2 linked regions of the Caenorhabditis elegans genome follow. The protein of the gene in region 1 interacts with the protein of each later gene in a pairwise test. Each region holds a gene or a part of one and is shown in the gene's direction. Other genes may lie near its edges.

Region 1 (3,757 bases):
TACAACTTTTTTCGCGTTGGAGATAGAAACTAGCGGTGAACTGACAAAATGAACATCACAAATAGGTGAACATTTCTTTAGTTGACAATTTTTTGATATCTCGTTCCACTAAAAAGATATAGCTATGATTTGATGAATGAAGTCCCAGTTACAGTACCCTCTCTTAAAACCATCAAATCTCTGTTCTCGCTGAAGATACAAAAATATGTTCAACTGAGAAAATGTTAAGCAGATAAAAAACAACATTTACCAGCAAAAACTACATTTCTATCTACAAAAATAATAGATTTTGACTTTTGAAAATTGATCATCTTAAACTGGCCATGTCAAAAAATCCTGAACATTAAAATTGAGTTTTTTATCGGAAACATACTCTATATAAGATATCTAACAAATTTGTAGTTGACTACTTTCTTCTAATGTCTTTATTTTTTGAGTTATGAACTGATCTCTGATTTTCTCATAAATACGGCTTTCGGGGCCTGTAAAAAATTTGTCTTACTAGTTAGAAAAATATTGTCAACAGAAAAAATGTTCACAATGTCACACTGAACATTTTGTTAGTTGACAACTTTTTTGTAACTTTCATAGGAGCGGAGATAGGAGCATCCAAAGTGTGAGGGCGCAGTAGAGTGGGTACTACTGTATCAAAGCACCCAACCTTCTACATCAAATAACATCTTTCAACATTGACGGATTTTTATGTGTGATATGTCAAAATGTGCGTATTAAAAATTAGAACAATCGTATTGTTTCCGATTTTTGAGTCCAAGCCAACTATTTCCTGAAAATTTGGTCATTTTAGTACTGTAGTCAACCTTCTAGATCAAATAACATCTTTCAACATTGACGGATTTTTATGTGTGATATGTTAAAATGTGCGTATTAAAAATTAGAACAATCGTATTGTTTCCGATTTTTGAAATCTTTCATTTTACGGTCACTATCTTCCGGAAAGTGCTGAAATTTTGAGCTGTAAATGTTTGATGTCAAAAAAAGTTTCTCTCATAACTTATTTATTGGGGTTTTTTTGTATTAACTCATTAATTGGGAATATATTGAATACATTTTACAAAAAAAATTTGGGAAAAAATCTTAAACTTGCTCGTTTTAGAGGGGAATGTGTAATATTATGTTCACTCTCTTCACTTATTTCAATGACAAAACTATTCTGTGAAATTTATGCCAGACTGTAGAGGACAGTACTCTTTATCCGTTCCAATTGTTTCTTTTCAGAAATATGCAATTTCCTTTCTTCCCGACTCGTTCTAAGTGAGGTGGTTGAGCGCGCACTCTCGCCATGTTGTGGAGGTGAGAGACGCAGAGACCGCCTTTTTCTCTGCGCTCTCTCTGCGCATTTCTCGTGGTGGAGGCCGTGTCACATCGTAAATCGACAGGGACGAGGAGAATTCTAGGCCACGTCTCCTCCGAGAGGAGTACGCCGAGTTCTCCATAGGACCCGCTCGATAAATTGAGCAATGCTCCTTTTTTCTTGGAATTTTTGTTTTTAATTAGTACTGTACTTGATTTTTCATTTATTTTCATAACTTTTTCGCGAAAAATCAATCAATTTTAGTGTTTGTTTTCAGTTAAAAAAAGAAATTGTTGATTTTATGCAACCTTCTGCACTTTTTCCTCAATTTTTACAATTAATTTGGGAAATTCTGGATTCTTACAGCTGCAGCCAAACTAGCATAATGTTGTGATTGTTCCGAATTTTTGAATATGTTCTCAACCACAATGGGATTTCCGTCGACACCACTTGAAGCCAAACAGGCGTTGGGAATCTCCTCTGGGATTAGTTCAGGTGGGCACAGTTTCTCGGCTACAGTAACCGTGGATACTGTAGCCGGGGAAGAAACTAATTTGTTCGAAAAATTGTTTTTCAAGGACTTTAATGTCCTCACTAACCCGGCACCTTAGCTTAAAACATAATTCACCAGAAACAGGTAAAAAATTGATTTTTGCGAAACTTTTAATTGGGAAAATCCACAAAAATTATTGATTCTTCAATTAAATTGGCGATATTTCCAGAAAACCTTACATATTTAAACGAAAATGAAGCTATTTCCAGCGAAATTGGACGGTTTCTGATTTAAAAATCCACAAAAACTGAAAAAAAAACAGATTTCTTCATTAAAATATTTAAATTTAAATTTCAGTGTCATCCGGTCTCCGTTCGGGAAGTCCGATGCTCTCCGCCAGCTACGAGCCCCAACTCTCGTTTGCCCGATGTGTTGAGCAGTGGAAAGGAAAAGAAATTGCAAGATGGATTGAAGGTTTTTATCGCCGCGGAAAAAAATATTCACTGAAAAATTAATAATTTCCAGGACTTGGCGATCAAATGAATCCATATTTGGGCATGATTCGTGACAATATAAAAAGCGGAAAACAATTGGAGGCTCTCGACGACGATTCGCTCAAAAAAATTGGCATTTCGGCTCTCGGAGCTAGGAAAACGATTTTTCAGGCTGTTTCGTTGCTTCTCTACTTTGTAAGATGGAGTTTTCAACAGGAAAATGGATTTTTTTCGAAATAGAATTTTCAGCAGTTTTTGCTGAATTTTCAACCAATTCTAAAAATCAGCTGTAAAGCTCCACAAAGTTCAGAAGAGATTCTAACTTTTCCGCAAATTTTTGAAGTTTTTAAGATTTTTTTTTGAAAAAAAGTGTCTTTTCGGAGAAAACCACTATTTAGTGAGAAAAAACTTCCATCGGAACTAAACATTTTGTGCAGAAAAAGCTGCTAAAAATCATGAAAAATGGTAAAAAATTATAAGTTTTCTAGGATTTTCAGTCGATTTTTTAAAAATTTAATGATTTTTAAGAGATTTTGAATTTTACTAACTTCTCCGCAATTTTTTCAAAGATGTTTTAATGATTTTCTGTCTACTCTGGAAAAAAAAACCAAAGTAGGCATTCCTGCCTGCCTACCGCCTAATTTTGGATTTTTCGCAGAAAAATTCAAAACTTGCTTTGTACTAATCTCCTGAACATCAAGAAAAAACTCTGAAAGTCTAATTTTTCAAGATTTTTTATCAGAAATTTTGTTGATTTTTAAAAATTATTTTCATTTTCAGTGTCACGAATCGGAACACGAGAATCTCCAACGCCTGGCTCAACAAGTAAAAACCTCGTGTCTCTACGTAGAACGCACGATGACGTCAGCGATGCGAATGCGGGAGAAAGCGATCCGTCGATCGGAAATTGTGAATATTCTGAATAGTGTGTCAAATGCAGTGTTACAGCTCGCCGAGCACACGAAACGATTCGTTTTTTGGCTTGATCGGACTCCGTTTGACGAGGAACCCGAATTTATTAACGTTAGAAATAGTGTTTCTTCTTTTATGTGGAACCTATTGAGAAATGTTAATGTACAACCGAAAGCTTTGTTTGAGACTGGAAGTCAAATTGTTAGGGTGAGGATTTTTAGGTTATCGATGGGATATTTTGACTGAAAATTTGAATTTTAAAAAAATTTGAAAAGTTTTTTTTCAAATCAGACAGTTTCTGAAGATTTCAATGAATATTTCTCAAATAATTAAAAATATTTATTAAAAAACTTGAAATCGAAAAATAATCAGCTTCAAAAGTTTCAGAAAATGTCGGATTTAAAATTTTTCAATTTAAAAAAAAATCAGATTTTTGCCAGAAAAATGTAATTTAAAAAAATTAATTCTTCAGACAATATCTATGATTCTTAAATTTTTTAAATTGATTTTTCTGCAAAAAAATTGGATTTTTTTTTCAAAATTGAG
Region 2 (3,757 bases), on another chromosome or scaffold:
AGAAAATTTGAATTTCCCGCCAAAATATTTTTCTCAGAAAATTTAAATTTCCCGCCAAAATATTTTTCTCAGAAAATTTAAATTTACCGCCAAAATTTTGGGTCTTACCACGATGGGTCTCACCACGATAGGTCTCACCAGGATGGGTCTCACCAGGATGGGTCTCACCACGATGGGTCTCACCACGATAGGTCTCACCACGATAGGTCTCACCAGGATGGGTCTCACCACCACGGGTCTCACCACGATGGGTCTCGTCACGATGAATAAATAAATAAATATTAATTAATTAAATAAATATTATTTAAAGAAGTAAATAATAATGAATTAAATAAATATTAATGAAATGAAGAAATAAATATTAATTAAATAAATAAATAATAATCAAATAAATAAATAATAATTAAATAAATAAATAATAATTAAATAAATAAATATTAATTAAATAAATAAATAATAATTAAATAAATAAATAAATATTAAACAAAAAAAAAATTAATTAATTAAATAAATAAATATTAATTAAATAAATAAATAAATATTATTCAAATAAATAAATATTAATTAAATAAATAAACATAAAAAGCCACACAGAGACGTGTTTCTTTCGTTTCTCTGTTCGTTTTGCCTGTTTAGAAATATGAGCCAACTGTAAAAACCTCAGAATTGACAGTTTAATTTTTCAAAAAAGCCTCTATTTCTTTTACATGTCTAGTGGTAATTCATGTTCCCAAACCGGACAATAGAGTGCGGCACATAAATTAAAGAAATACATATTTTTCTGATTTCCAGTTTCTAATATGAAAACGGTATCTGAGACAATACGAAGACGCCAGAGGGCAAAAAATGAAATTTCGAACTCATTGGGAAAATCTTCGTATTTACTAGACTTTTTTGGAATTGCCTTAGATTAGGTGATTTTTCAACAGGGCACTTGTAAAATTGGGCAACACAATTTTTGACAACCAAGGAGTACAATAATTATTTTTGCTGAATAATACTTAGTTCTTCCGTTCTCCAATTACTCGGTCACACTTAGCACTTTCCAGTTTATTCTGTTATAGAATTTGTTTCAATGAGTAACGTTTTTCTATTCAATTTGAGAAAACTGCTGAAGTATAAGCTTTTTAGAAAGATATTCAAAAAGGATTAACTGTTCTTTTTCAGATACGAAAAGATTAAAACGGTGTAAGATAATACTTAGAGTCCATTTCTACCTCATAATCTTTTTTTTTCTCAAAAACATTTGAAATACACGTTACCTAGCAACTCTGAGACGCAATAAATTTATTGCTTGACTATTCGAAATGCTTTGACCATTAAATTTTTTGACAATTGTGGCAGTTTCCGAATCTCGGATATTGAAATTTCAGTATTTTTCTGTTTGCTGAAAACTTGCGATTGCCGTTAGTTTGTATTATGCTACTACCGCATTTTTCAAAAAACAAACGTTGGTTATTAGTTCAGTTTGAGCAAAAAGATTCCTTGAATGTTTGCTATGATGAGTGTTTTTTTGTTGACCGCCAGAAACTGTATCTTATTTAAAATTTAGAGTTATTTGTGGGAATCTAGTGTTCAAAATGTAAATTTATGAGAAATTTATTCATAAGAGCCAATATTGTCACTGTACTTAACATTTTTGATGTTCTTATCTCAAAAACTTGGGCCTCATATTAATAATTTTGTTGCAGAAACAATGTCTGAAAAGGAAACCCAACATTCTACAAAACATGAACATGACGGGGACTTTGAACAGGGTACCGTTTGAAATTTCTCTAATTTGTATTAACTTCAATGTATTTATTTTAGAGTCTCTATCATCACCCGTCGACTATCACCCTCAACAAAATCTGGAGCAGGAGGACCTGGAGGAAATTGAAGCAGGTTCGATTTTTTCAGTCAAATCCTTGCTGTTCAAAAAATTGTGTTTCGCTCTTAAAAAATCAAACGAGGATCACTTGTATATTGAGTTTTTATAAATTGTTCGGATAAGGGTTAAAATTTATTTTTTCAAAACATTTTTTGACGTCGTTCCATTAAAAAACTCTTTTATTTGTTTTTAATTTGGGAGAGAAAAATGAAAGACGCCGGTGTGCCGCTAAGCTTCACAGTGCTTAGAACCATGAGACTTTATGCTGCGGGTGATTACAATTTCTTGCGAGATTACATAAATTTGCTTTTAAGCTCCAAGTGATGTCGCTGCAAAAGCCGAGTTGATGAAAAAACCAGTGTGGAGTTAGTTTTTACTTAAAATCGAAATTTAAACATTATTTTAACAGAAATTTGCTCTAAACTTTCCACTAGTTGTTGATCAAAAATTAATTGAAAAATTCGGCTAGATACGGTAATATCTCAAAAAATAATTATTGAAGAAATCACGCAAAAACATGCTCTATCCCGGTTACCCAAATTACAATTTGTGCATAATTTATAGGTACCACTTCGCCCACCTACAATCCCGGTTACGAAAACAGGATTGCCAATAGAAGTGAGTTTTCTAATTTATATGCTTGTTTTGAAGAATTATTGGTCAACTAATTCTGATTGTTTTTAATCTTGTAGTTTGAAACCACCGGAAACTTCTTGACATTTAGGAAACTTTAGGCGAAGTCTTAGTGAATTGTCAATTTTTGAAACAAATTTGAACCTTGCATATGTTTCAGCAAGAATAACTAAAACGGAAAAACAATTGAAAAATTACACAGAAACTAGTTTCATAGAAAATGTTTTCTTATTTCGGCTACAATAAGTTTTAAAAACATTTTGCAGGTCGCTCGCCAATCATCTATGAAAGTGAGTTGCCCATCTGTAATGATTATTTCAATGCTTATGTAGTAGCAGTAACCCAAAATTAAATGACTCATTAAATTCTATATTAAATGACAATTCGAAAAAAACGGAAGGTTAAGTTACATTTTATGCCAAAAATACCTAAACAAAAAGTTGTTCTAAAAATCACAGTAAATTTTCGAAAAATCGTTGAAAAGTTTAGCGGTACGGCTACTACATGAGTACCATGCGTTCGATTTTTGCACGAAAATGTATTCCAAGTCGTTTGAGTTTGTCAAACCAGCTTTTCAGGTACTTCCCCAAAATTTGAACCACCAGCCGATCACGAATGTAAGTTGATTCAACTGCTATGACCTCAAAATTTTCAAGTTGCTAGAAAGCACCATTCAACACAAAATCGATTTTTGCAGTTTTGAAATTACACAGAATGTGTTAGCTCTTTGATTTTGAACATATATATATAAATTTATCTAAAAGTCAATGTGTCCGCAGTAAATGCAAGTTTGAAAGTTATTTAATTTTGCATTAGAATTAACTGATGGGTACGTTTGAAATTTCTGTATCCCAAAGCGTCAACACTGAAAAATTTATTTCAAAAATTTTAATTAATTAACGTTTAAACTCTTAAAGTCAGAAACAGTATGGAAAATACAATATTGCCAACAGCCTTTTGATAAACTAGAAAAATCAAACAATTGAAAATTTAATTATTACTTTATGAGCATAATTTTTGCATCACATCGTAGAGTACACAACTAAATATCGTAAATTTAATGAACACATCTCATCACGTTTCTGATGAACCAGTTAAACTTTTCAAGACTTCAACATCTAAAAATCATATTTTAGATGAACCATTTATAATTCGATTGCATCTTATTGATCCATCAATCCATCACATCCATCGTGGTAAATTTAGACTTTTTGAAAACGATTTCAAAAACGAAAAATACAGGTGCGCAGAAAT

Evidence for each region.
Region 2: the proteins of cnk-1 (region 1) and H28G03.3 interact in a two-hybrid assay, tested with the Caenorhabditis elegans proteins (one large-scale study listed by BioGRID).

The regions. Positions count from the first base shown.
Region 1 is NC_003281.10:10,269,579-10,273,335, forward strand, and holds the start of cnk-1 (Connector enhancer of kinase suppressor of ras), read left to right. Parts: upstream 1-1,678; 5' UTR 1,679-1,725; coding exon 1,726-1,807; intron 1,808-1,854; exon of another isoform or gene 1,855-1,897; coding exon of another isoform or gene 1,898-1,949; intron 1,950-2,162; coding exon 2,163-2,279; intron 2,280-2,330; coding exon 2,331-2,494; intron 2,495-3,079; coding exon 3,080-3,418; intron 3,419-3,757.
Region 2 is NC_003284.9:5,224,305-5,228,061, reverse strand, and holds the start of H28G03.3 (BZIP domain-containing protein), read left to right. Parts: upstream 1-1,696; coding exon 1,697-1,757; intron 1,758-1,809; coding exon 1,810-1,884; intron 1,885-2,434; coding exon 2,435-2,488; intron 2,489-2,769; coding exon 2,770-2,793; intron 2,794-3,081; coding exon 3,082-3,120; intron 3,121-3,757.